7 separate regions of the Mus musculus genome follow, and regions 1, 2, 3, 4, 5 and 7 are each reported to be linked to region 6. The links are microRNA targets in miRTarBase. Many come from high-throughput screens and were not tested one by one. Region 6 holds a microRNA gene; each other region holds the end of a gene's coding sequence.

The links. Region 6 holds the annotated microRNA mmu-miR-335-3p (UUUUUCAUUAUUGCUCCUGACC, at 1,072-1,093, shown strand). A microRNA usually pairs through its seed, bases 2 to 8, with sites in the 3' UTR of a target mRNA and lowers its output. Matches are read on the target gene's strand: a 7mer-m8 pairs with bases 2 to 8, a 7mer-A1 pairs with bases 2 to 7 and ends in A, and an 8mer does both.
Region 1: miRTarBase lists Irf8 as a target of mmu-miR-335-3p. Seed matches in the 3' UTR shown: 7mer-A1 at 3,102-3,108.
Region 2: miRTarBase lists Sfrp1 as a target of mmu-miR-335-3p. Seed matches in the 3' UTR shown: 7mer-A1 at 1,693-1,699 and 7mer-m8 at 2,670-2,676.
Region 3: the mRNA of Aida is a reported target of mmu-miR-335-3p. Seed matches in the 3' UTR shown: 7mer-m8 at 1,286-1,292, 7mer-A1 at 1,626-1,632 and 7mer-A1 at 2,241-2,247.
Region 4: the mRNA of Erich5 is a reported target of mmu-miR-335-3p. Seed matches in the 3' UTR shown: 7mer-A1 at 3,069-3,075.
Region 5: the mRNA of Hspa12a is a reported target of mmu-miR-335-3p. Seed matches in the 3' UTR shown: 7mer-m8 at 1,343-1,349, 7mer-m8 at 1,453-1,459 and 7mer-A1 at 2,495-2,501.
Region 7: the mRNA of Smyd4 is a reported target of mmu-miR-335-3p. Seed matches in the 3' UTR shown: 7mer-A1 at 3,061-3,067 and 7mer-A1 at 2,832-2,838.

What each region holds. Positions count from the first base shown.
Region 1 is chr8:120,754,621-120,758,687 of GRCm38, reverse strand. It overlaps Irf8 (interferon regulatory factor 8), which reads right to left. Exons shown (of 9, transcript NM_008320.4): 9 at 1,994-3,689. The coding sequence ends at 3,513. Among named protein-coding and RNA genes, the nearest start is that of Gm39266, 14 kb to the left of the region's middle.
Region 2 is chr8:23,446,272-23,450,338 of GRCm38, forward strand. Sfrp1 (secreted frizzled-related protein 1) reads left to right here. Exons shown (of 3, transcript NM_013834.3): 3 at 1-3,361. The coding sequence ends at 217. Among named protein-coding and RNA genes, the nearest start is that of Sfrp1, 37 kb to the left of the region's middle.
Region 3 is chr1:183,322,242-183,326,308 of GRCm38, forward strand. Aida (axin interactor, dorsalization associated) reads left to right here. Exons shown (of 10, transcript NM_181732.4): 9 at 43-160; 10 at 248-2,260. The coding sequence ends at 344. Mia3 (melanoma inhibitory activity 3) reads right to left here. Exons shown (of 26, transcript NM_177389.3): 26 at 3,995-4,067. Among named protein-coding and RNA genes, the nearest start is that of Gm34102, 21 kb to the right of the region's middle.
Region 4 is chr15:34,472,591-34,476,657 of GRCm38, reverse strand. Erich5 (glutamate rich 5) reads right to left here. Exons shown (of 3, transcript NM_173421.2): 3 at 2,766-3,848. The coding sequence ends at 3,718. Among named protein-coding and RNA genes, the nearest start is that of Rida, 21 kb to the left of the region's middle.
Region 5 is chr19:58,795,734-58,799,800 of GRCm38, reverse strand. It overlaps Hspa12a (heat shock protein 12A), which reads left to right. Exons shown (of 12, transcript NM_175199.3): 12 at 1-4,050. The coding sequence ends at 440. The region is part of intron 2 of Gm41877 (a long non-coding RNA gene); the gene reads right to left. Among named protein-coding and RNA genes, the nearest start is that of Gm41877, 3.3 kb to the right of the region's middle.
Region 6 is chr6:30,740,283-30,744,349 of GRCm38, forward strand. It overlaps Mir335 (microRNA 335), which reads left to right and starts at 1,017; the gene lies at 1,017-1,114. It overlaps Mest (mesoderm specific transcript), which reads left to right. Exons shown (of 12, transcript NM_008590.2): 2 at 388-542; 3 at 1,859-1,938; 4 at 2,246-2,323; 5 at 2,434-2,570; 6 at 2,732-2,790.
Region 7 is chr11:75,404,308-75,408,374 of GRCm38, reverse strand. Smyd4 (SET and MYND domain containing 4) reads right to left here. Exons shown (of 11, transcript NM_001102611.1): 11 at 2,670-3,609. The coding sequence ends at 3,456. Among named protein-coding and RNA genes, the nearest start is that of Serpinf1, 16 kb to the left of the region's middle.

The sequences.
Region 1 (4,067 bases), not on the chromosome of region 6:
AACTCACCATCCTCCTGCCTCAGCTTCTGGAATGCTTGGCTTACAGGAGTGCACCACCACACCCTATTAACAATTACATTATTGACATAGTTGATTGACACACACACACACACACACACACACACACACTTACTTAACCATTGGCGTTGTAGCGTGTCAGCAAGGACTATTTAATATTTATAGTTCAGCTCTCTAATCACTCCTGGCTTAATTACAGATGAGTGGTAAACAGAAATACGGTTATTTTGGGTATTTTCTGAGCGGCAGGCTCTGCTCTGTGCTCTTCGGGCCTGTTAAGCCTCTTTGTGTGTGGTATCAAATCCCTCTCGATGGTGAGGGAAATGGGAGACAGAAGCATGATGAGTGGAACCCTAGCCTGTCCTCTGGCCACACAATCAACCCTTGTCTTTCACCGGCCCAGCCAATACCTCACACAGCAGGCACCCCAGGGCACTTGCCTCACCCCACCCTGCTCTTCCCTCGATGTCTCTAGGGTCCTTGTCTTCTGTGACTGGTATGAAGGGAAGCAGAAAGTTTGTTCTGCTCAGGTGGACCTTGCAGACATTAGGGAACTAAGTAGCCACTCAGAGTCATGTTAACACACACTAACCTAATAAGGGTTTTATATGATCCCAAGAGTGGTGGTTAGGTAGCTGGCCTTTCCTTCAGGACCAAACAGTCTCCACCCAGAGAAAGTCACATTCCTTTGAGGACCCAAGTCCTGTCCCAGGAGGCCCCAGCCTTCAGAGATGCCAAATTCCCTCCCGCACTTCAGGGAGACAGCATCCACTCTTGGCCCAGAGGTTGAACTCTGAGAGACACAAACAGGACTGGATTCACTTTGCACATCCAGAGAGGAGCTGTTTATACACAAGACCCCCGTTGGAGCCCTCTGAAGCCAACGGGACTCCCTGCAGAAATGGCTGCTTTACTTTGCTCTGCAGTCAGCTGTCCTCTGGGCCAAGGATCTTGCAGAAGCTCTAACTGCACTCCCGGAACAAGGGAGGCCTCACTCAAGCCAAACATGGCCCTCTCCCGCACTTTCCACATGGGTAAGCTGGGACTAACTGGCCCTGTCTCTGAGATCCCATGAGAGCAGAGACAGTGCACACTGCCTCAGAGACAGCAGAACTAGCAGTCTGTGCCCACCTGCGGTGTGGGGGTGGGGAGGGCCTTTGTTCCCAGTTGCTACTGAAATGGCCCCTGGGCTGGTTATAGCACCAGTGAGGGTCATTCTGAGCCGGTGTCTGGCATAAGTATGTGTGCACGAATGGAAGATCACACCTCAGCGCTATGACTGGTGACCGTCCCACTAATGCTTCTAGAAGCTTCCAGAAGGGTGCTGTCAGCATAGTCTCCTTCCTCCATGCCCTCCCATGCTGCACGAGGCCTGGGCTCACTGAAACCCTAATCTACATCTGGTAGAACAGCGTGGATTGCCCGCCCTCTGTGCTCTCCTGTGTCTGTTATTCTCCAGAGCTTTCTGCTATTGTCTTAAGAGAAGAAAAAAAAATCCCTAAATCCTTGAAAATCTCAATCCATTATTTCTTAAAAGTAAATTAAAGATTTATTTTAAAGATTCCTTTAAGGATTCACAGTGACTCACACCTCTCCTCCCCTTGCTAAGGAGGCTGAGGCAGGAAGATTGCAATGAGTTCAAAGCCTGGGCTGCAGAGTCAGATCTGGTCTCATTTTTTTTAAAGACTTTTTAAAAATAAATTTACTTTATGTAGATAAGTACACCGTCGCTGTCTTCAGACATCCCAGAAGAGGGCATCAGATCCCATTACAGATGGTTGTGAGCCACCATGTGGTTGCTGGGAATTAAACTCAGGACCTCTGGAAGAGCAGTCAGTGCTCTTAACCACTGAGCCATCTCTCCAGACCTCTGGTCTCGTTTTTTAACATCAAAATTTAAAAAGAAAAAAAAATCCTGGAATCTAATGAAAACTATATTCAAAAGTGATTTTTTAAAAAAAGAAACAAACATTACTTTTGTGAAAGAGCAACTTTTTTTAATAAAGGATGAAATCAATACTTCTTAAGAGAATACAAAAATAAATATTTGGACACTAGCACTCCTTGAGGCAGGTGGAAGGTGACATGTGACAAGGGGCCTTGTGAACAGGTTGTCCTGGCTTCGGAAGGGACACTCCTGCTTTGACTGAGGGGGAGAAGCAGGGGCCCAGGATTCTGTTTGCATGTATCACACACTCCAAGGATTCTGTTTGCATGTATCACACACTCTGTCGACCCTGTCTGTTGAGCAGGCCCCACCCAGCACCTTCACACAGTAGCCGGGAAGGTCACCGTGGTCCTTAGCTTTTCAGGTTGTAAGGTATGGCCTGTAGCTTGTAGCTGCTCTGGACCCTCAGGCTTTTCCCCAGAGCAACAGTCAGCAGGTAAGGCTTTCCTGCAGTTCCCCAGGGAATGCAGAGCACCTAGGCTTCTCTAGCTGCGTGGAGCATGTAACCCAGCTTGTTACAAAGTTGAACAAACGGAGAAGCTCTCCTTCTCTCAGACAAAAGCAGATGATGACTCTCCCTGCCCCCACATCTGCTTGGCTTTCTGCCCCTGTTGTGTACTGACCCTCAAACTAACTCCTTTTCAGCGGCTCCCTCCTCCGGGAAGTGTCCCTTAGGCGGGGCTATAGTCACTGATTTAGATTACTTACAAACTAGGTTGGACAGCCAGATTGGGGGCGCAAATGGTGCGGTAGGGGGACATTCCGCTCTGTGCCCACTGGGTAGGGTGTGTGCCTTTCCCTGGTACGTGGGTGGGCACTGATGAGCCCAGAGCACAGTTTGGACGTGGCTTTTCACTGGGTCTTAGGACTGGGTATGGAGCTGGACAAGGAAGGGTGAGATGCCAGTGAATGGGTCTTCTCCACAGTGCCTGGTCCTCCTTTGATGCCCCACACAGCCCTGTCAGCTGACACAGAGTCTGTGTGAATCAATGAACCACAACCAAAATTCCTGCGAAGGCTGCAAGCAGTATCTACACCCATATTTAAAATCTGCCCCACTTTACAGGGAAGGTCTCAAGTGATTGACAGCTGAGCCTGTGAGAATACAAATATTGTCTTAAAAAGAGTTTTTTTTTTTTTCAGAGTTCTGGCCAAAAAGAAAAGAAGCTGAATAGTAAAGATTCTTCTTCTCCAACCAAGCAGAGAAAGTCATAAATCTCCGCCCTCGGCCGCAGAAGGGCAAAGGCGAGTCTGCTGCCACCAGATGATTTGAACTGTCGAAAGACCTCAGCACACAGAAAGGCCAGCCATTAGTGGTGAAGGGGGAAACGCAGGAAAGGAATGCTTTAATCACAGGTTGCGGCCACAGCCCCTGCAAGCTTCTGACACCTGCCTGAGCAGGAGCGCATCCCTCTGTGGGCTTCCGGAGGCCCCTTGGAGGACACCCGCCCACCCCAGTCAGAGGGCTCCACATCCTTTCGGAATTCTCTTAGTCACAGACTCTTGAAGCTTGAGCTCAGGCGAGGTGGGGTGCCCGGACTGAGGCTTAGACGGTGATCTGTTGATTTTCTCTAAAAAAGGGTCTCTGGTGTGAGGTACAGATATCCGGAAACATGCGGAAAGCCTGGTCCGGCTGGGGCTCCTCCAGGGCTGGCATCAGGGAGCCAGCACCGCAGCTCTTGCCCGCTTCCTCCACCAGCTGCCTGGCATACAGCTGCTCTACCTGCAAGGGCCATGTGCAAAGTCAGAATCAAGGTGGAGGGGAACTGGGGCCATCCTCCACCACAGGTCCTCCAATCCCCTCCGAGACAAGATGGAGCCAGGTGGGCAGCGTTCCTGCACATGGCTAAGAGTGTTCTCCCAGAACTGCTCCAACCAGGCTGGCTGCTCCTCAGACTGTCACCATTACATCTACAAGAGTGCCACCGTTCAGACCATAGTCAAATAGACCGTGATCTGTCACTTAGATCTTAGGGCCACTGGACAAGCAGAAATTTCCTGAAGAGGGAGGAACAGGAGAACAGAGGGAGGGAAAGTAGGAGCAAGCAGAGAGGGGAAGAAGGAAACACAAATGAAGAGAGTCCCAACGTGGGAAGCCATC
Region 2 (4,067 bases), not on the chromosome of region 6:
GAAGCGGCTTGTGCTGTTCCTGAAGAACGGTGCCGACTGTCCCTGCCACCAGCTGGACAACCTCAGCCACAACTTTCTCATCATGGGCCGCAAGGTGAAGAGCCAGTACCTGCTGACAGCCATTCACAAGTGGGACAAGAAAAACAAGGAGTTCAAAAACTTCATGAAGAGAATGAAAAACCACGAGTGTCCCACCTTCCAGTCTGTTTTTAAGTGATACTGGGGCGGACTGGGGAAGGGGAGTGTGGCTTGGGGTGAGGGTGGGGGCGCGTGGATGACCCTGGCTCTTGGGGGCTCACATATTGCTCTCACCCATTACAGTTGTGGCTTTTGCATTGCACCTGGCTCTGTTCCTACAGCGAACCCTCTCCCTTCCCTCCATAGCCACATCCAGCTAAGGCCACGGCCCTTTAGATTAGGAAGGCTTTTTTTTTTTTAAGGGCTGCAGCAGGGCCAGCAGGCACGGTGCAAAAGGAGAGGCAGAATCCTTTCACTGAGCCTCGGGCACAAAAAACAGAAAATGTTGGCCGGTTTGGAAAAACAAAACAAAACGGATTGTAAAGAACTGCAGACGGACAGCTGCTCAGCTCAACGTTGTTCGGGACATCATTACCAATTGCTTGTGGAGTCTAAGCCTCTACAGGTAGAAGAGTCTGATCATTGCCAAGCCAGGCTGCTTTCAGTTTATTATTAATCCCCCTCTTTCTGCCTTAGATAGACCATCGCCACCTTCAAAACACACACACACACACACACACACACACACACACACACACACACACACACACACACTTCTGAAAGTAGCCAGGGTATCCCAGTATAGAACGGGATAGCTAAGGGTTTGGGTGGGAGGCCACTGCCTACTCTACCTTCAGCTTTTGAACTGGCCACCTTTGATAGGAAACTGTAGGTCTCAGATGGACACTTCTACCAGTCCATCGGGATACAAGGATGCCAGGCAAGGGTCTGCTTTTGTATGAAGGAGGTACGTGGGCATGAAGAGACATGAGGCATTTCAGGCTGAGAAGCCAACAGCTACTAGTTTTCAACAATAGAGTGGAAGAAATGAGCAAAGGTAGAAATGTCAAGCAGGTCACAAGTCAGGGTGATTGGGGGAATCCTGTGCCAACAGCCTCACTTTGTAATTCCATCTGTCACATTTCAAAAGAACAGCAGCATAAGACAGGGATAAAAGCCCACATACCCTCCAAGGCTTGAGTAAAAGTCCACACTCAGCATTTCAAAGACTAACGTCGTTGACTGCCCAAGGCTGCCCTCTTAATACACCGCCTATGCATGTGCTGTGGAAGGCAACTCTGTGCATGTGCTGTGGAGGAGATGGGCCTCATGGCTGTGCCTGGCTGCCCAGGAATCAGTATAGCTGTGGAAGGAGACAGTATCCATAGACTCTGCTTTTCTGCAAGGAAAGCCCTTTTCCTTATACATGATTGCCTATAATTCAGACAAATTTAAAATCGCTGCCTGCCTGAGCCCTCCACCTTTACTTTTGCATTCCTCCGGTCATATTCTTTTGAGGCTAAAGTGCCCTATCCGAGGAGATGGTTTCAAAGGCTAACTAATCTGCAGCTTTCCCAAGTGCCCAGAGGTATTTCTCAAAGTTGGTATGCTTAATAAGTGATGTAAATATTCCAGTTCTCTTAGGCAGCCTTACTCCTGTTGTCCCTGTAGTTCTGAAAAAAAAAAAAAGTTAATTTCTTCCACCAAAGTCTGATAATTCCCCACCGCATCCATGGGGCTACAGTGACTGTCCCTTTGGCATACTCAATCCAGAGGTAGGAATGATTTTGAAGAATCATCTAGTGGCCTTGGATTGACCCAGAAACAGGAAAACTCTGGTTACTTCTGAAAGACTCCAGCCTGAAAACTCACCATGCCAACTTAGTTACTGACCTGAGTGGGGTAGTGACCTAATTAACTTCATGTTTAGTAGTCCTATTATCTTAACCCTTTTAAGAATACTTCCAACCTTAATCACAATGTTATGAGGAACCTTAGGTGATTTGCCTATCATTGTGGATGATTTAAAAATATGTATGTGCATTAGTAATTAGAAATAGTCTAACCTCATTGTCCATAACTGAAATGCAAAGTCTCCTGAGTGTGTAGATCTGGGCCTTGAGCCACTACTAGTTCAGTGCTTGGTGAGGGGTCTGCTCATTTTGGGAAAGTGTATCATGTGGCAGGGCCCTCTCCGAGTGGCGGGAGACTGCCTACATGATTTTTTTTTTTCCCTGGGGATGTTAGCAGTTTCACAGCATAAAAGGGAGGACATGTTCTGGGGGGCTCCAGATTGGGAACCCTCAGGAAGTAACTTCCTCAGGAAGGATTCATAACCAATTGATCGATCAATTGATCATGTGAACTGCAGCAGCTGTCTGTCCCCTTACTTCAGAGTCCCCAGCTTCAGAGTTTTGTTGCGGACCTGTGAGGATTTCAGACACACACACACACACACACAGACCAGTTTTGTCTATACTACATCAGCAGTTCCAGACAAAAAGGGAGGCTATCTAGGGGCCCGAAAGCTGCATGATCAGCAGCCTTTGTCCTTTTCAACAAAAGGTGTAACAAACCAATGTGCAGACTCATTAGCTTTGTCCCTGGCTTCCAATGGAGGTGGTCCATGTGCGCTCTGACCAGCGTTGCCAATGAAAAGGTCAGATTTGGAAAGCTTTAAAATAGTCATTCCGGAGAGTCAGGGAAAGCTAAACCCACCAAACTTTTGGGAACTATCAATAGCTATCTTAGAAAATAGACTTGAGAGGCAAGAATTGTAAGAATATGTTTGCTTTTTAAAACATTCTGTATCCTCAGAGCTCATGGTTGGTGGGTTAGCACTAGGTCCTCCCTGGGGCTGAGTCTAAGCCCAGTTCCAGGCTTCCTAAGAATGTGTAAATTACAGAAATCACATTTCCCAAAGCTAGAACCTGTTTTATCTTGTTAGCCTCCCTGTAACCAGATGCTCTGTTGGACCTTCATAGCCGGACGTGGTTCAAGATGTGCTCCAGAAGCAGACCCGGGGTCACATCTCCAGGATGGCATGTTGGCTGCTCTGACCTGGCGCTGTGGGTCCTAAGCGCAGAGACGGAATTCCTGTTGGCCCTGGTTCCCCCCTCCTCGCACCCCCTGAGGACTCCACTTTATAGCCTAAGCCTTTTATACAAAAGCTTTGAATACTGTGAAGATGTTTTACATTCCTTCTCATTCCTGTTGTTTCTTAACTACATTTGACCAGATGTTTTGATGTTATCACGTATGTTAATAGTGATTCCCAGGTGTGTTTTGTTTTCATGCTTTCCCTGCCAATGTATTCACTTCACTAAAATCACTCGATCAATAACAGCGTGAGTTGTGATTGACCCAACCCCTGTCATCCACTCCCCACTCCCCGATGCCCTCCCACTCGGCATGCTCCCTTGAGTTGCTTCAGTGGTGTTTTCTGGTCCTAGCTGGGTGGGATGGGGTGGAAGAGACCTGAGAAGGAGCACGGGCATTCCCTGCCCTCCTTCCCCACTAACCATCTCCGTATAAGCCTGGTGTCTGTCTGTCTGTCTGTGTGGGTTTCAGTTCTGCCAAACATTTCTGCTCCATGTTTCAGATGCCCCCACCCGACAGGTCCATTTTAGAGTTCACGTTCAAATTACCAGCGAGAACTTAAGAAATGGCTTATGTTTGGTGCTGTGGTCCCATTTGGGACTTTGAAGAATAAAATATGACATGGCAGGGACTGCCAAGAAGACTTTGGGTCACTGGCGCAGCTAGATTTAGAACCCACAGTCCCAGCATCCTGGCCGTATGGGCTGAGCTCTCTGCTGAACCCACCTTTGTATCCACAGTGACACATTTTGCTGATCCCAGGCTGTTCATTTTGGCATTGGGCCTCTTCCATTGTAGTGATAGCTCCACTGGATGGTGCCCTCTGGTCAAAAAACACTTCCATACCAGAACAACTTAGTAGTTTTTCTCCACATGTGCCCAAGTCATCAAAACTTCATCCAGGCACAGCAACAGCGTTCTTTCAAAGGCAAGAAATGAAGACTTTAACA
Region 3 (4,067 bases), not on the chromosome of region 6:
AGAAGGTGCTGCCCGTGGTTTATATGTCTTTTAATTTCTTAGGTGCGGCCATTTTCTTTGAATTCAAACATTACAAGCCTAAAAAGAGGTTTACCAGCACTAAGTGTTTTGCCTTCATGGAGATGGATGAAATTAAACCTGGGCCAATCGTAATAGAACTGTAAGTTTTGGGCATAGCAAATGAATGGAACTTAGGGGTCAATCAAGCAGAATATTTTAAACAATAATCTTTCTTTTGTGCTTTCAGATACAAGAAACCCACTGACTTTAAAAGAAAGAAATTGCAATTGTTGACCAAGAAACCACTTTATCTTCATCTACATCAAAGTTTGCACAAGGAATGATCCTGATACAAATAACCAAGAACTTGTGTGAATTTTACCACTCAGAACCCATCATAGCTCTGAGTAGCATAATCACCCTTCAACAGGCAGGAAGTGAGCCCTTCAACAGGCAGGAAGTGAGCCCTACCCACGCCAGCTGACCAAGCGAGTCTATTGCACAGCCGGACCCCAGAACAAAAGTTCAGCACATCACTGACCTATCACTCCTTTGGATACAGGTTTATTGTAGATTTGGAAACGTTTTCACTTTTCTATTAATTGTGCAATGAATAGTCTATTTTCTCATTGCCTCTACTCCCCTGTTTCCCGGACAGCACTGTTGTAGATGTGCAGAACTTCAGACAATGCAGCAATAAGAATGTGCAAGAGTCTACGTCTCTGCTCACTTCTGCTCCAGTATGCTCTTCTGGTTTCAATGCCACGCTGTGAGTTGAAGTGGGTAGAACTGCTCTGAGAGGAACTGGACTAGTTACATTGCCTAGCAAAGTCTCCTTAGAAGAGACCTAGCCTGGTGCCATGGGTCTCCTGCATAGAAAGTGTGACCTGGCCAGATGAGCATCCCACCCTGAGTGTTCCCCGGATGACCAGACTGATTTCCTGAAGAGAGCACGTGTATCGTCAGGTGGATTATCTGCTCTTCTCTATTGTACTGCTAATTCTTTCTGGTAGTTCTAGGGTTAACGTTGGAACCATCTCAGAATAACTATGGATTTGAAAATGTGTTTACAGTATCTTTTAAACTGTATCATTTAGGAACAGTTGAGTCAGATGTCAAGATGTTGCGGGATAACTGCTGCTTTCCTGACCACCCGTTGTGAGACCTTAAGACCCCGTACCTCTCCTTAGTATGCAAAAATCTGGAAAGACTGTCTATTTTTTTTTAATATAGGTAGATAGGATTGCCATTTATTTCCTATTTAGATATACAGTCATTCATCCATATGAAAATATGCAGGTCACTAGTTTATTTTGAATGGACTATTTACTTTTGGTGTAACAAGGCATAAATAAAACTTTGAAAGCACATGATGGATGGTTGTTACACAGAGCATTAGGACTCATGAGGGGCTTTCTGTGGGTTAGACATGCCATATACTTTAATATTCACATGTCAGTGACCTCACCACACCATTCAATATACTTGCTTTTTCAAGTAAATAACCACAAGGAAGATGTCTTAAACTTGTCCTTCAAGAGATCTAGTCTTGGCTTTCATTCAGCACCTACTAGGCCACTGTTTACTAGATGGAGCTTAATAAAAACTGTATTTCAGGTTCAACCTGAAAAAAAATCCACAACCAAATTAATCTTGATTGGGTAGTTCCAACTGCTAAAATCATCCCATCTATAATAGCTCTAGGGGGAGGAGATTTTTGCCTTAAATTAGCTCACTCTCCCACTCAGGCTTTGAGTTGTAGGTCCCCAGGCTGTAAGCTCCTGGGGCAAGAGTTGTAGCTGTCATGGAAGGGTCTAAGGTACTTGGCAGTACTCTGTACCTGGGGAGTACTCAGTACATTTTGTTTGATATTGCTGACTAGACATAAAAATTAATTCCTTAAAACCTATTATTATTAAAACGTAGCAAAGACTGTACATTGTCCTTTCTCATTTCTTACAGATCATAAAAGACAAATAGCAAGGTGGTAATTTTCTGTGCTACAGCACTGATCATTCACACAGCATGGCATATATGAACCACAAATGCCTGCCGTCAGGGTTAATAAAGCACTTTAGTGGAACATGATATTAAAAACTAAAGCTCGCCAGGCACTGGTGGTGCACATCTTTAATCCCAGCACTCGGGAGGCAGAGGCAGGCAGATTTCTGAGTTTGAGGCTAGCCTGGTCTACAGAGTGTGTTCCAGGACAGCCAGGGCTACACAGAGAAACCCTGTCTTGAAAAAAAACCAACTAACCAAAAAAAAAAAAAAAAAATTAAAGCTCAGCTTTAAATCAGACCCGAATGACAAGATTGTCTTAAAGCAGTGAACACAAAAGCACTCCCCACTTCACAAGTTGAGTTTCCGTTGTACTGAGCAATAGCCTTGTCTCTAGCACAGATGCTTTCAAGGTGAGGTGTGGCTCCTTCCTAAAGAGCTTTAGCTATTCAACAGAGAAACAGCGGGAGGGGACTTCTGAAACAAGAACTTTTAAATGGAAGAGTCCGACTCAACTGAGGTATCCTGTCCTCTGTGCCATCCGTAGACAGACAGGCTTCTGTAGCACAGGCCTCGTCAGATGGGGCTGAGGAAAGGCAGTAATCGACTGGCTCAGAGGGCACAGAAATGCTACAACTGAGGGTTCTACACATATTTCTGATGATTTTTATGATGATAGAATAACTAAAGGCCTTTAGAGGGAATATCCTAATTTTGAATATTAAAAAAAAAGGTTTACCTTTACTATTTGTCTTCTTAGCTTGTATAATTTTTATTTTATATGCCTTCTAAATTTAGGTTAGTCAAGATAGCTGAGGCAGGAGGATAGCAAGTTTGATCAAGCCTGGACTATATAGGTGAGACCTTATCTTTAAAAAAAAAAAAGGTAAAAATTATAAACTATATTTTTACTATTTTGTGTCCCAAGATTGACAGATACTTTCAAGAAGTTGTGTTTGCAATTTAATATTATTTTTATATGGTTAAAAATGGCATGTGTGGCTAAAGAGATGGTTCAGGAGTTAAAAAGCACTTTTTGATCTTGCAGAGAACCGGGGTTCAGTTCCCAGCACCCACATGATGGCTCACAACTGCCTGTAACTCCAGTTATGGGGATCTAGTGCCCTCTTCTGGCCCCATGGGTACCAGACACAACACATGTTGCACATACATACATGCAAGCATGCAAGCAAAATGCATGTGCATAGCATAGAAAATAAAGTTTCAAATTATATATACTCTCCTGTGCATTTTCTTATAAAATCTTGTGTAATTCTGGATTGGGGTCAGGCAGGCTGAACTCTTACTCCCTTGGACCTCCTGCATTCAGAGAACCTGTCTTTGTATGTCTTCAGTCATCGAAGATTTTATTTCACATTGAAGCTTTTGCTCATTTTTTTCAAAATCTCCAGTGGATTTAACTTCCCAGCAGTGGCATGATGTGCCCTTGGTTTCAGTCATTGCTTCACAGGACTTTAGAGAGTGCAGTGTCACAGTGAGCTGTTTTCACTTGTTATAGCTTTAATTACTGCAGCTTACACGGCTGCAGCAATTCACCTCGCTCACAACAGCCGTGTTACTGAGCTCAGCCCGTAGTTCAGGATGTACACTGGTTTTCTGATCTTTCTGCCTTATGGCAGCTTCCTGATTCTTTGCCATACTCCTTGAAAATCAGCTGCAAGGTGATATGAGAGAAAACAGAATAGACATTTCTAAAAAGAAATGATCTTACAGTCATGGCATATGATTTTTATCTTGTTAGTCACCCTTAGCGAAAGAATGGTTTTAAAAGCAACAAAATACCAGGTCGAATAATTTTATGTCAATTTTTTCCCCACACGTGCTGCAGCATGTGTGTGTGTGTGTAGGTCGTGGGAAGTGGTTCTCTTCACTAGGTGGGTCCAAGGAGTCAAACTCAAGCTGTCAGGCTTGGCAATAAGTGTCTTTACCTGCTGAACCATCTTATTGGCCCAAATAATTTTTTTTTTCTTTCAGTTTTTGAGACAGATTCTATGTAGCTCTGGCTGTCCTGGAACTCAGATATATGCCTGCCTTTGCCTCTCAGG
Region 4 (4,067 bases), not on the chromosome of region 6:
TCCTGCTGTATAAATAGGACATAAACTGGGCTACAAAGTAGCCATACCTGGTTATTTTGTTTTTGGTTTTTTTTGTTTTGTTTTTGTTGTTGTTGTTGTTGTTGTTTAATTTAAAAGAACAAACAAGTTTCAGGCTAGAGAGATGGATCAGTGGTTCAGGACACTTAATACTTTTGCAGAGGACCAGAATTCAATTCCAAGACTTCATGTCAGGTGCCTCACAACCTCTCTTAACTCGAACTCCAGGGGCTCCGATCCAATGCCCTATTCTGGCCTCTGTGGACACCTCTATCCATGTGTACAGAAACACACACACACACAGAGAGAGAGAGAGAGAGAGAGAGAGAAAGAAAGAGAGAGAGAGAGAGAGAGAGAGAGAGAGAGAGAGAGAATTTAAAAATAAATCTTTTGTGGGTGGTGGTGACACAGAGAGTCCGGTGGATCTTTGTGTTCTTATGTTCTAGGCCAGCCTGGTGAGTGAGTAAGTTCCAGGGCTGCAGTGATCAACCCTGTCTCAACATCTAAAAATAAATAAGTAAATCCTTAAATTTTTAAAAGATTTCTAATATCTTAGTAGCCACATTAGAGATAAAAGTATAGAAAGCACAAAAAATATACAAATTTCTAAAGCTAGGAAAGTAATTGGATGGCTAATAGAAAGTAAAGCATTAGAAGGCAATCTGTAAAACTTTTATTTTAGAGCTATAGTATACTTTTTGAGAGAGTGTTCTTTCAAGGATGACTGTTGTATAAACCTGCTCTGGGATCACACAGCTGTGATCTCAGCACTCAGGAAGTGGAGGCAGCAGGACCAGGAGCTCAGGCTCAACCTTCAGGAGACCTTGTCTCAAAACAACATTTTAAGGAAGAAAGGAGTTTTGAGCTGGGAATGGTAGAAGAGACCTATAATTCCCGCATTCAGGAGGCAGAGGCAGGTGGACATCTGAGTTCAAAGGCCAGCCTGGTCTACATAGTGAGTTCAAGGTTAGCCAAGACTACACAGTGAGACCCTGTCACATAGACACAAAAAGATAGGCCACCCAATGAAGAATGGACTTTTGTGCTTGTGCCTATTAATTAAATGTGTCCATCTGAGTGCTTGCTATAAAGAAGATTCAGCTGTTAAAATAATCTCTGATAGCTGGATCTGGAGGAACATACTTTTAGTCCCAGCACTGGAGACCTGAGTTCAAGACAGCCAGAGTTTACATGGGAGACCCTGTCTCAAAAAAATTACCAAAAAAGGAATGGTCACAGATATTTTACAGTAAGCCTTTACATTTAACTTTTTATTTTTGATTGTCAACTATTAAGTACAATATGTTATAGTGATGTATATGTATGTATTCTGGAATGGGTTTGTCAAAAATATCACCACACACACCTGCTCTGACACTTTCTATTTATCGACTCTCCTAATCAGGAAAAACTAAACAAATGAAACTTGAAATATATGTTGTATAAAGTCTCTACTGAGTTTCTGACCTAAAAACCTTGCTTGGGGAACTACTCTGAACATTGAGCTTGAGCAATTTTGACAGGAAAATGGATTTCCCCATCTAAGAGATAGAGCTGGGGTAGTGCCACACAAATTTATATTTCCAATATATTGTTTCTTGGTATTCAAACATTGACTCAATAGATAGAGGATCTGTAAGTAGTCTATTGAGGGAACCAAATAACTGAATTCAAGGTTACATAGAACTACTTGCTCTTAATGAGAGCAGTCCAACTTCTACTTTGCAATAGGCTATGTCATCTGTTAGGAACTGCTCTTATCTATCTGGGTGTGTTGCAGAGGCATGAGGTAACTCTGACGTCAGAACACTGATAGTACACTCCCCTCCACAGTGTTACACTTAGTCTTGGCTCACCTTAAGAGGTTTTTATTTTAATGTAGACACTAAAGCAAAAGATGCTAGTTGGTTCATCTAAGTGGTAATCTTAAGATTATGTATTCCTAAAATGGTAAATTTTTCCATAAACCTACCTTGAAATTCATAGACACAAAGCGCTTAATAAAGAACAAGTTAACTGCCATATTGTAACTCACACACAATCATCAGCAGAAGTCCTTACTTGCTTTGGAAGAATTCCAAAAAAAAAAAAAAGACTTTCTGTGGTACAGAAATGTTTTTAAAATCTCGACTTCTTAGCTCTTTTTCACCTAATGCTAATTTGCAGTCACTTAAAAGAAAGCAGAATGTAAATGGAGAAACTAACTAATAAAAAATGAAATGAAAAAAAAAAAAAAAAAAGAAAGCAGGCTCAGGAAGATTACATATAAACAGTAAAGCTGAGCGAGGGCATTTTGGGGTTTTGTGTTTTTGGAGTTTCGTTTTTGTTTTGCCTTTTTTTTTTTCCCCATGTGTCTGCTGTGCATGTACACATGTTCTCATATGTGTGGAGAAATGTGTGTGCACGTGTGTGCAGAGGAACACAGCTGATGTTAGAAACATTCCGAGATCACCGCTCACCTTATTCTATAAGGCAGCATCTCTCAGAAGAACTCACGGTTGGCCGGAAAGATCAGGCTCCCTAGCCAGCCAGCCTTGAGGATCCCTGGGCTGCATTCTAGGCAGGATTTACAAACAGCTTACATACCCACCAGAGTTGTTTCTGAGGATCCAACTCCCATTCTTTGCCTGGCAGCAAAAACTTAGCAAACTGCTAAGCTGTCTCCACAGCCCTAAAGCTAGGACTGACTTAATCCTTGCTGGTTGTGTTCCATTTGTTTTTGTCTCAGAAATTCATTGAAAGTCAAGTGATTTAAAATTATTTTACTGCTAGTAAATCACATGAAAGAGAAAGAAAGAGAGAGAGATCACCAACACTCCCCCCCCTTAAGTATAAAATCACCAGCCAATTCAAAATGGCACATGGAAAATGTGGACTCTTTAACTGTAAAAAATCCCAAAGCTTGCAACAGCACCCCAATTGCATCCCTCCAGAAATTTTTGTTAACATTTAGTATGCCATGGGTCACAGTGATTTGTAGTAGTAGATAGATTTCAGGACAGAAAGTAGTTAGAATACAGGCTCCCTGAGGTTCCTTTCTTTCTGTTTTGTTTTTCAAGACAGGGTTTCTCTGTGTAGCCCTGGCTGTCCTGGAACTCACTTTGTAGATCTGGCTGTCCTCGAACTCAGAAATCCTCCTGCCTCTGCCTCCCGAGTGCTGGGATTAAAGGCGTGCGCCACCACGCCCGGCTCAGTCAAATTTCTATTACAGGACAGAAATATTAGGTAGAGTTGGTCCTGTGTTCTGGGGTTATTTAATTTTGTTCCATCACTATTATAACTGCAAAACTCTCTTATCATGAGTTCCTTAAAGTTTGCTAGTTCCTCTCTCTAGACACCTACATTTAAAGGTTTGTACTTTCCTTTTAGGGTCTCATTTTATCCTGAGACCTCATGGCTACAAGGGTGAAGATTGCCTTCTCTCTCTTAGATGATCTTACAGTTTTGATTGGCTATGGCTATTGTCACTTTGAATTCATAATTATCCTAAGTATCTAAGAAAACCGTGTCTGGCTTAGCAGTTTTATGGTGTAAACAATAAAAGAAAACAAACAAACAAACAAACAAAAACAGCATTGTTCTCTTGGTTCCTACAGTCATTTTAAAACTATACTCCTTGTATAAACCACAAAGCCGCAGAAAGGTGGTGCCCGCCCTCCCAGCCTCAAATATCCCTGCCCTCTGGTGTAACACTGCACACTAAGCCCTTCTGTCACCAGCCCCTGCTGCTCCAAGATCCACAGCTTCTCCTGTTTCTTTCTCTTTAGTTTCAGCTTCTTCACTTTCTTTCTCATTTTTCATCTCTGCTTCCACCTTTTCTCCTGTCTCACCTAGAAAAAGCAACCAAAGGAAATAATAAGAGATGCTTGCTTAGCAGTGTGTCCTGGATAGTTTTTTGTCAACCTGATACAATCGAGCATTATTTAAAAGGAGGGAGCTTCAATTGAGAAAATACTTCCATAAGATGCAGTTCAATGCATTTTCTTAATTAGTGATCAGTGGGGGAGGGCTCAGCCCATTGTGGGTGATGCCATCCCTGGGTTGGTGGT
Region 5 (4,067 bases), not on the chromosome of region 6:
TGCGCCGGTCCCCTCTCACCTACGGAGTAGGTGTGCTGAACCGCTACGTGGAAGGGAAGCACCCTCCCGAGAAGCTATTGGTCAAGGACGGCACACGCTGGTGCACCGACGTCTTCGACAAGTTCATCTCCGCCGACCAGTCTGTGGCTCTGGGGGAGCTGGTCAAGCGTAGCTACACCCCGGCCAAGCCTTCCCAGCTGGTCATCATCATCAACATCTACAGCTCTGAGCATGATAACGTCAGCTTCATCACTGACCCAGGGGTGAAAAAGTGTGGCACGCTCCGCTTGGATCTCACGGGGAGCGGCGGCACAGCGGTTCCCGCCCGCAGAGAGATCCAGACCATCATGCAGTTCGGGGACACTGAGATCAAGGCCACGGCCGTCGACATAACCACCTCAAAGAGTGTCAAAGTGGGGATCGACTTCTTAAATTACTAATGTAACTGTCCCTCCTGGCCACCAGCCCCCTGGGACTCATCTGCATTTGCTGACCTCAGCCTGACTGTTCTGTCCCTGATCCTGACCCTCGCCACTGCCCACCTGAATTTCAGTAGGCATGAACCAGAGTGAAGATGAACTAAGGATTCTTTTTGAGGGTTCACCGGAGCAAGAGAAACCTCAAAAATCAATATCACGACGTGGAAATAGGAAGTTTGAGGATCCCCAGAGCAGCCAGCCTTCACGGGTTCCTGGGTGGTCAAACAGCCCTTAGTGAGGACTGGGTGCAGCCTGCTTGGAAGAGGGCTCTGAAAGGGAAGGCTTAGGACGCCCACTCTGTGCCGGGGGCAGGGTAGGGTGGGGGAAACATTCATTGGAGGTCTTTTAAAATGATCTTGGATGGCTGTGAATAGGAAATACCAGCTTCCTGCAGAGTTAATTCCTTCTCTTTATGGTGGGACTCACAGAGGTGACTCAGTGGCAGCTTACAGTATTCTTTGTTTTTTAAGCTGGTGGGAGAAGACCGCCTACACCAGGCACCATGTTCTCATATAATTTAGATTCCAAGGAGGCTCAGTGAAGGCTAGGGCAACATTGGCTAACTCAACCAGGATGGGGGTCGGGGTAAGAGTGTGGATGCCTTGATTTTCCAGAGCAGGTCAAACTTGCTTTGGTGGAACCTGTACACTGAAGAGTTAGTGAGGTACCCCAAATTACAGCAGTACCCCCTTCTCTGGAGAGTATACATTCTGAGACTCCTGAGTGGATGACCAAATGGGTAGATAGTTCCAAACCTTATCTATACACTATGTTTTTTCTACATATACATACCTAGGACAAAGTTCAATTTAATAAAGTAGTAAGAGATTAGCAGTAGTGACTAATGACAAATTAGGACAGTGATGAAAACACTTTGATAAAATGTATACGAATTTGGTCTATCTCAGTATATCTGATTACTACACAACACCGCTGTGCATTTTTGGACCCCAGTTAATTGAAAACCCAGTAAATGAAAACCCAGATCAGAAAGTGATTCTCAGAACAATGAAGCGTGAGTTCAGAGATCATGCATGATTCTAGGTGACCTTAGCAGAAATTTAATTGGAGAAAATAGAGTTTCAGTTTACTCTGTTTATATCTAAAAATTCAAAACAGCCTTGCCAACCATGCACATTTTCAGTTAACCCTTTCCTTCCCCCTCTTCTTAATCCCACCATAAGGAAATATTAAAGGAGGTTCTATTCCATGAAATGTCTCCATCAAACCTGCAGCTTTTCACATTCACCTAAAAGCAGTACGTAAACCTAGACCCGTGAAGGCAGGCCTGTGGCTCTCCAGCCTCAGAATCGCTGGTGCTTGTCAGGAGCAGGGTCCTGAACCTAATCCCTTCCAGACTCTGGGTCTGCAGTCGTAGTGTTGGAATGTGAGAATTCCCTCCAAGCTGAAGTGACCACAGACCACAGTGTGTGGCCTTAACAATCCCTGTCAGATTTCCCTCAGGGAAGAGTGCCTGTACTTACACTCTGCTCTCTAGGTAAGAGGGTTGGAGGTCCACCTGCCCTCGGAGGCTGTTGCCCTTTTAACCCCCACAGGAAGGATCAGAGAAGGAAAAAAGACAGCAGGAGAGGAACCACGAAAAAGAAGCCTCCCAAGGCCAGGTTCTGTGTTCCTCCTCCTGTGCAAGGCTAGACTTGCCAACATTCAACATTCAAGAGCCAAATGAGGGTAAAGAATCAAGAATCTGACTCATAGTCCTTCTTATCTCTTCAGAACTCTCTTTCTTATCTGCTGGAATTCATCCTGATTTAAAACACTGGAAGCATGCATAATGAATGGATGGACAGGCGAATGAATGGATGGACAGACGGACAGACAGACGGATGGATGGGTGGATGGATGGACAGATACAGAATGAGGGAAGGGACTTCAAATGCAAGTTGGATTTGTGAACCATCATCATAGCCAATATGCAGATTTTTAAAAAGCATTTTGAATTTCAACCTATTGTCTTCTTTTCCACACCGCTTGCCGCAGAACTCCCTGCCAGAATGTGAAAAAAAAAAATGCTATCAAACCACAGAACAAGCGAATGGGAACCCCAAACTGGACGGCAGGGTCTCAAATCCAGACCTCAGGATGCCTGCTTTCTAGGACTCCTGCTAACCCTGCTTCAGAAGCTCATGGGTGTTTCCAGCCACAGTCCTCAAATAGACTTTCGATTTTGTTATAATGGATATAATTTTATGTACATAGAACGCGAGAATCTTGTATAAAATCTTTATTTCTACTTGTGCTTGTTTGAAAGGGAAAATACTCGCAATTTTGGTTAATAACGCTGCTGCCTGTAAGCTCCACAGCTTCATTTCTTAACTGTCCTCACTGGTTGCTGTCTGTGCTGTTACCCCACAGTGGACGATGCATGCGAGACTGAGCAATAGACAGAGGTGCCTTGGGTCAGAATACTCTGATCACACAGACTAACCCAGATGACAGCTTCATCAGACCCCTCCACACCTGCACACCCCTACCCAAAGCTGAACGGTCTGCATAAAGAGTAATGTAGCAATTCTCCCGTCTAGACTTTGAGAGCTGAACGTACTGGTTCTGGAAGCGATGCCTACCAAAACGCTTTGTGTCTGGCAGAGTGGCGTGCTTCATGATCAAAGGAACCAAGTACTCCATGGGCCAAGGTTTCCGTTGGGTCGAATGAGTGGGAGCAATGTACTCAAGCCCTTATTGTCCTGGCTAACAAAGCACTCCTTACCGTATGTCTGCCTATCTCCTTGCCTCCTATGTTGCTTAAGCGAGCTGATAGAAATCTGCACTGTTAGCAAACTGATGATGGGGAAAGGGTGTGATTTCACTGGACTTCCTTTGGACCCAGAGATGCAGTCCCAGTAGCCAAACTCTTTTAGTATAAAGATCTCCAATCTATCCCTACCCTGACTGAAATAATCCTACTAGGAACACTGGAAGAGTACACCTGGAACACATTCCCCAGTCTTAGAAAGTTCCAGAAGGTCTGTGGTCTTGACCGATTGTCCTTTGCATAGGTTATCTGGTCACTTAACTAACCTTTCCAGGACACAGCAGGCATTCGTAAATGCAGAGTGACAGGCAGGAGGGAAGAGGAGGTGCTACAGAAGAGGTTCTAGGGAGCCATGGCTGAGTCCAGGTTACAGAGCCTGCCCCGCCCTTAGAATGTTACTTAGACCAAGTTTAGCTTTTAGAGTCCAGGTCTGGTTAATTGCCAGGGTAGCAAAGAATTGCATGCACCAATATAAACAGGAGTCAAAAATGCATTATTAATCGAAGATGAACTTCACATTGTAGTGACGTAATAGTTGTGATTAGGCTGCGCAGTACGTATGCCGGGGAATGGCTTAAGTGGATGGCTAGTATAAAAGTTGATGGCCATAATATCTCTTAACACCTCTCATCTGCTTGCAATATGGAACAATATCCTAAGATCTCAACCACTGGGAGGCTTGTTCACTACAAGATAGATCCAAACGTCACAGAATTCTGCAGCAGTTCACAACTAGACAGCATTGTGTCTGCAAACTCTTGTCTTCACAGATTCTAATAAAGTAAACCTCTCAATTTCACACGGCCTAGAATCGT
Region 6 (4,067 bases):
CTTGGTCAGAGGATATGTATGTGTTAGAACCCAGGAGCAGCTCTCTGCTTAAGGCCATGCAGTAAGTTACATATGTGCTTGGAAAGAATGGTAGTGAGCTAGTACAGTGACTGCCAGATGTCAAAGGGTAAAGGTGTTTATCACATTCTTCTTGGTAAAGTTTATGCCATTGTCACGTTGGGTGGGGAGGTGTGGAGTGGGGAAGGGAGGGGTGAAGTGGGGAGGGGAGGGGTGGAGTGGGCAGGGGAGGGGTCGAGTGGGAAGGGGTGGGGAGGGGAGGGGAGGGATGGGGGGTGGGGTCAAACCTCACAGTGCCCAGGTTTCCCACCCATGTTTCATTCTGATTTTTGGAAGTGTACAATGTTACCTTGGCTGCTTTTTCCACAGGATGAGAGAGTGGTGGGTCCAAGTAGGGCTCCTGGCTGTGCCCTTGCTGGCTGCGTACCTGCACATCCCGCCCCCTCAGCTCTCCCCTGCTCTGCACTCATGGAAGACTTCTGGCAAGTTTTTCACCTACAAAGGCCTACGCATCTTCTACCAAGGTGAGAACTGGGCTATTGGAGAATCCCAAGGACGTGGGTCGTGTAGGTTTCAGCTGAAGTTACTTATTTTGTGTCCCTTGGTCTGTTGCTCCACAGTGAAGGTGAGGTGAAGGTGGGGGTAGAATTGTGCCTGGTAGTAATTGCAGCCCCATTTGTATTTGAGAAATTACTTTTCTCTTTTGAGCGCCCCTAGTGTCAGGTAAGCTATATAGTATTTCGAGATCTATCTATACCTTTGTTTCCCCCACGCCCCACCCCATTCCCAAATTCATGCACTATTTTCCGTGATTTGTTATATGTAGCTGATAAGATTGACTTGATGACTGCTATTTAATTACCACACTCAGGATATTCAGTTATATTTTAACCTTCATTATTTCATTTTTCACTTAATTTTTACAACAGCATTTGGAGATAGGTGCCATTAACCTCATTTTATAGCTGAAGAAACCGAGAAACAGATTGGAAAAGATTTCTTTTGGGCGGGGGTCAAGAGCAATAACGAAAAATGTTTGTTTTTCGTAAACCGTTTTTCATTATTGCTCCTGACCCCCTCTCATGGGTTATAGCCAGTCGAGTAAGTATGCATTTTTTTTTTTATGTTGGCTTGTTGTTCTTTCCCAGACTTGATATTCAGTGTTACATCTTATTTGCATAGGTTCTTTAGGTTAAATCCAGTATATGATATTTTAATTGCTTTTAATTAAATAATTTCTGAAAACATGCTACCAAAGTTTTATTCCACTAGCAGTATTAATTTCAATCCAGTACTGTTGGCAAGGTATTTTATTGTTTGAATAATCTGAAATATGTCACATACAGAAAAAGTTCCCATCACTATTAGCCCATCTTTGTAACAGTTTGATTTTTTGAGTTGCATGAATTCTGCTAGTATATGGACAAATGGTATAAGCTCAGGTGATCCACTGGGAAGAACTGTCACATCTTAGATATTAGGTGTGATAAATATTGATTAGGGACAAAGAAGTTTTAGCTTGCTGTGATTATAGTATTTTAACTGTTTTTCCTTTTTATTTAAAAATTTGAGTTTTATATTAATGTCAGCGAAAATATGAGGATGTCTACACAACTCTTAAGTGATGATGAACAAACTGTTTTAAGGGTTTTCATGTAAAGCATGCCATTACGATTTAAAAGCGCAGATTAGGAGGAAGCTCCTGAAGTCCTGTCAGCTTGCTTTCTAACACAGCATGGTGATGTCATTCATTTAGTCTGATCCTTTTGACTGGATTAGATTTTGGTGTCGTCAAGGCTGCCTTGCATGCAGTTTGCCTCATTTCTCATTTTCCTCCTAGATTCTGTCGGTGTGGTCGGAAGCCCTGAGATAGTTGTGCTTTTACATGGCTTTCCAACATCCAGCTATGACTGGTACAAGGTAATAATGTTTCTAGGTCTGGCTTATGTCCTAAAAAAAATACTCAAAACTCAAGATATTTTTTTTGTTGTTGTTGTTGTTCTGGTCAGCCCTAGAATTCTTTTGCAGATTTGAACTGTTTGATAAAATCTCATTAAATGTAGAATTGCTTTTTATGTACTGTAAGGGGAGTAAAATACTGACTGCAGAAAGGGACACTGCCAAATTAAAGCTGGAGTTACGCTCTCCGTACAGTGGCATGCAGGCCTGTTTGCTGTGGGGCTGGGCAGTGGGAGCAGAGTGCTCACCATGCTTGCTTTCTTAACAGATCTGGGAAGGGCTGACCCTGAGGTTCCATCGAGTGATCGCCCTTGATTTCTTAGGCTTTGGCTTCAGTGACAAGCCGGTAAGCAGCAGCTGGGTGTGGTCCGTGATGGGGGTAGGTGGGTGGGTACAAATGAGGGTCTGGCAGGCACTGCTAACATCATGTTGTATCTCTGGCTTTCCTTTCCTCAGAGACCACATCAGTACTCCATATTTGAGCAGGCCAGCATCGTAGAGTCCCTTCTGCGGCACCTGGGGCTCCAGAACCGCAGAATCAACCTGCTGTCTCACGATTATGGAGATATCGTTGCTCAGGAACTGCTGTACAGGTCAGTGAAACCGGACTTCTGTCCTCTGCACAGGTGTCGTAGCTTTAGATAATGGGAAACTCAAGTATTCTGGGACCATCACACCTCTAGGGGTCGTCTGCAGCCCTTGTGGGGAGTCAGTTACTGAGCTACATGTGTCTTTTTTTCTTGCCCTGCTCCAGGTACAAGCAGAATCGATCTGGCCGGCTCACCATAAAGAGTCTCTGTCTGTCGAATGGAGGTAATTGCCTTGGTGGTAGGTGGAAAAGTAGGGTGTAGTTTCAAAAAGTCACCCTTTTAAGTCACACAAGAAAAAAAATTTAAAAATAATCTGATATTATAAACAGACACCATATATCGGGCATCTTTTACCTTCATTGTGCCATGAGTAGTTTTCATGGTTGATGGTATTTATGGAATACATATTTTCAAATCTATAGCAAATAAAAGGATAGCCATGATGGCAGGAGCCTCAATGGGTGAAGGGGCTTGTTGCCCAGTCTGTGGATATGACTTTGATTCTGGAACCCACGTTGTGGGAGAAGATTGATCCCTCTGGGCTGTCCTCAGACTTCCGCATGTGTCTTGGCACGAATATATACATAAGCACAATGAACACACATTTTTGTTGTTGTTGTTTGTTTCTAAAGAGCCAGGTGCAGTGGTGCACACCTTTAATCCCAACACTTGGGGGACAGAGGCAGGTGGATCTCTGAGTTCAAGGCCAGCCTGATTTACATAATGAGTTCCAGGACAGCCAGGGCCTGGAACCCTGTCCTGAAAACAAAAACAAAAACAAAAACAAAAAATAAAGGAGCTATCACAAATGTGATTCTATTGATCTGGCTGGTAAGCTACATTAATAAACTCTTAATTGGTGGTAGTGCCAGGTGCCAGCTGGGAATGAGTCTTACCATTTGGAAGTTTTGGGATTTTGTGTGTGTGTGTGTGTGTGTGTGTGTGTGTGTGTGTGTGTGTATCTTTTCTATCATGGAGATGCTCATTAATCCAGAAATGCCCAAATGCCCCAACCTGAATGCCTCCAGGGCAGCCTGGGACAAGGGTAGTGGGTCCGTCCCTTTATCAGTGGAAACAAAGAGTGATTTTTCTTTTACAAGAGCCTACCTACAGAAACATACACGTGTTTGCAGATGAGCTTGTTACTACCACTGTGCTCTGAGCACTGGGGTGAGCTGAAGGGAGTGTAAGCATAGGCAGCCGTGCGTGCGGTATGGAGGAGCATATAAATTACTCTCCATTTTTGTACCTTAAAGCGAGAAAAGCAAGCCCAGCGTGTGGCAATTTGTCTATTAAACAGAGCACCTTGTAGTAATTAGCAGTATAGTCATGCCTCAGTTGGTACATGCGCATGCAGTTCTGTGTTGCGTATGAGTTGTTGTGCAGTGCCTCGCTGTTTGTACTCATAATTCTGTTTTAGCAGCAGAGACTTCACGTGTACCAGCGAATAGGTACAGTCGCTGGTAGTAGCTGGGAAAGGACTCACAAGCCTCTCTTTCC
Region 7 (4,067 bases), not on the chromosome of region 6:
TTGACTTTGGGTTCTTGTGTTAGGAGGGCAAGCTAAATTTTGCCAACTGGCCCTATTTATTTTTTGAGAAAGGTTCTTATGATGTACCTGGCTAGCCTAGAACTTGCTATGTAGACAATGCGGGCCTCAAATTCAGATGTCCATCTGCTTTGCCTCCTGAGTTCTAGGATTAAAGGCATGCACCACCATGCCTGACATTCAGTCCCTATTTTCTGAGACAGGGTCTCATATAGCTCAGAATGGCATTGAACTCCTGCTCCTCCAGCCTCTACTTCCCACATGCTAGGATTATAGGCATGTGCCATTATACCTGGCAAAGTTTTATTTTTAGTTATGTGCATACATATGTGTCCGAGTGTGGGCACATGCATGAGTATAGCATGAGTATAGTGCTTGCAGAGGTCAGAGCATCAGATCTCCTTGGCGTAGGAGTTACTGGTGGTTTGAGCTGCTTGTCACTGAGGCTAGGAACTGAACTTGGATTTCTTGTAAGACCAGTATATGCTTAACTGCCACCTCTCTAGACTGCCTATCTATCTATCTATCTATCTATCTATCTATCTATCTATCTATCTATCTACCTACCTATCCATCCATCCATCCACCCACCCACCCACCCACCCACCCACCCACCCACCCACAGTCAGGGTCTCACTATGAAACCCTGGCTGCCCTGGAACTCATTTATGTAGACTAGGCAAGCCCAGGACTCACAGAGATTTGCCTGCCTCTGCCTCCTGAATGCTGGGATTAAAAGTGTGCACCACCTTACCGAACTTAAATGCATAGTTTTGTTTTATCCTTTTTTTTTTTTAATTTACTTTGAAAGATTTTCTTAAAATTCTCTCTCTCTCTCTCTCTCTCTCTCTCTCTCTCTCTCTCTCTCTCTCTCTCTCTCTCTCTGTATAATTGAGTGTAGGAGCTTATGCAGACGACCAGAGGTGTTGGATCTCATGGACCTGGAGTTACAGGTGGTTGAGTCACTCGGTGTGGGTATTAGGAACTGAAATGAGGCCCTCTGGAGAAGCAGTGTGTGCTCTTAGCTGCTGAGACACTTTTTCAGCCCTTTTACTTTTGAGACAGGTGTTTTGTAACCCAGACTCTAGCTCTTGACCATCTAGTCTCAATCTTCTGAGTGCTGAGATAATAGGTGTGTTGCTACCGTGGCTGGCTCATACTAGATTATAATATAAGCACAGGTATTCTCAAGCTAGGTCACATGAGACAATGAAAGAGTTTTTTGAATTTAGTTTTATGTATGAGTGCTTTGCCTGCATTTGTCTGTGCACTACGCACATGCAGTGCTCACATAGGCCAGAAGAGGGCATCAGATCCCAGGAACTGGAATAACAGCTGGTGTTAGCTGCTGAGAATCAAACCCAGGACTTCCAGAAGAGCAGTACATGCTCTTAACCACTGAGCCATCTTACAAAGCATCTAAAAAAAGCTTCCATGCACAGAATAAGGCCTGATATATAAAACGTTAAATATATCCTTTGAGGAAGAGCACCTATTTTACAAAGTGTGACAGGGCTTTTAGGAATAAAACACAAGGCATGAGTTTGGACTAGAATAACTATAGAGTTGTCTGTAGGACTAAACTTTTTTCCTGAAAAAGCTCTACCCCAAACAAAACAAACCTTTCAAGTCACCTCCTTGTCAGGGTAAATTAACAGACAGCAGGAGACTCAAATGCTGCCCAGTTCCCAGTCCGCAAATGTTTGAATACTGTCTTTTAACACCAGCTTCTTGAAAAGCTGCTGCCAGGCACCTTCAGGACTGTTTATTTCCTCACTGTAATGCCATGACAGTCAACGGCTGCTCCTTGGGCATGGCTAGGATGAGCAAGTTCTAAAAAGCAGAGTGTATGGACTTGGGTCTTCTTTCCCACTAACTCATCCAAACAAACTGGTCATCAGCAATAATGTACTAAGGATGAGTCAGAAAACCCCATAGCTATCTGTCCCTTGTGGTCTGGACTATTACTACCCATCCTTAGGGAAAGGGGCAAAGTCCTTCCCTCTGTCTCAGTTGGAAACCATGAGCAGCAGTGCTCACAACCACAGCACTCGGGGCATCTGGAGATGTAGCCTCACAGTCTACCAATGAGTGACGCCCATGGCTGCTCTTGGAATGCCTTGCAGACAGACTCATGGCTCCCCCTGGAGTGCCCTGCAGACAGACTCATGGCTCCCCCTGGAGTGCCCTGCAGACAGACTCACGGCTTCCCCTGGAGTGCCCTGCAGACAGACTCACGGCTCCTCCTGGAGTGCCCTGCAGACAGACTCATGGCTCCCCCTGGAGTGCCCTGCAGACAGACTCACGGCTCCTCCTGGAGTGCCCTGGACTTCATGTGTGAGCCTGAAGAGACATGGCAGTAAGAAGCAGTCTCAAGCTGGGCAAGGTGGCCTTTTCCTATAAACCTAGAACTTGGAAGGCTGAGGCAGGAGGATGTTGTTTGAGGCTAGACTGGCTTACAGAGTAAGATTCTGTCTGCAAGTGAAACAGCCAGAGTGGTCTGCTTTCAGGTGTGCTAACAAGGAGGCCTGTGCTATGAAGTCATGCTACAGGGTTGCCTTGCATCAGTGCTTGGACAGTGAGTGCCAAGAACACTCAATGAAAGCCACTGAGTAAGAATTAGGACACTGGTAGGAAACCAATACAGAGTTGCCATCCCAGGAAGAAACTGCCAACAGTAAGACGTATTTATTTCTCCATTCACAAATTATATATCACCAGTCTTAATGAAAAATTTAAGGAAGCAGGATATTGTAAGTGGAATTGTATGTCTCTTGAGGTAAGCAGTCATACTGATTTCTTGCTATATATTATTTTTCAATTATAATACAAGACTAAGAATTGAAGTTCTCACTGGAGTGGAACACAGCACTTCATTACTACTAGAAACCATAGGAATGTTCCAGGGAAACAGATTCATCGTTTAGTGAGATGAAATCGAGCCAAAAGCCTAGGCTAGCATGAGCTGCCTGCAGATCAGTGACAACCCTTTATTTATTTATTTATTTATTTTTTACTTATTTTTATTTTTTATTTTTTTGGTTTTTCAAGACAGGGTTTCTCTGTAGCCCTGGCTGTCCTAGAACTCACTTTGTAGACCAGGCTGGCCTTGAACTCAGAAATCCGCCTGCCTCCCGAGTGCTGGGATTAAAGGCGTGTGCCACCAAGCCCGGCTGCAGTGACAACCCTTTAAAGCAGCCTTTAGATACTGGATTTAGTCTTTTCTGGGCATGGGGTTTCCATCAGAGGGCAGTTAGCTCTTGCAAGCAGCAGCCAGCATGGCAGGTGAGTGTCTCAATCTGTTTTCAAGTGCTCTCTGTGCCAGACACTAGGCTCAGGTCAGGTGGGAAGGTCCCGTCCTCTCTGATGAGAGCTCCAAGCCAACAGAACATCTCAGTCATCACCAGAGCTCCTTCTTGAGGGTGAGGATGATTGCTCTACACCAAGGGCCCCACAGGGACGAATGACGAGTCCAGTAAGCAGGACCTCATTTCCCGGAGCTCCCGGACCTCCTCACTCTCAGGGCCACAGTGCACCAACAGGATCCTTTCTGCCTTCCAGATGGCACTCAGAGCTTCAGGCACTGCCAACCTGAAGCCAGAAAGGGAAGCTTGTCAGTTCCCTTCCTTAGTCTCAACGAAAGTGGACTCCTTTCTGTGCAGAGAACACAAAGTCGGGTCCACTGCATCCCCCAGGGTCTTACAGGGGGCACAAAGGGTCTGAGTTCCTCTGCCCTCAGGGTCTTACCATCTGAAAGTATAGATAAGAGACATTCACGGGCATACTGCAAAGCAGATTTGAGAAAACTGTGTATGTTTGTGATAGACTCTGGGATCCTGACAAAATTGGGCAAATTCAAAACCTTAACCAGCATTTATAAAAGCTTATCCAGAGCTGCTCACTGTGGAATGCTCGTGTCTAACCCGACTGATGCCCTCTCTCTGATATTGCCCTCGTCTATCAGGTCCTTCGCTCTCTCTGACCAAACATACTGTTTCCATGTCCGAGTATCAGGTCTATGTTTCAAACCCTTTTTCTTACCAATGTAT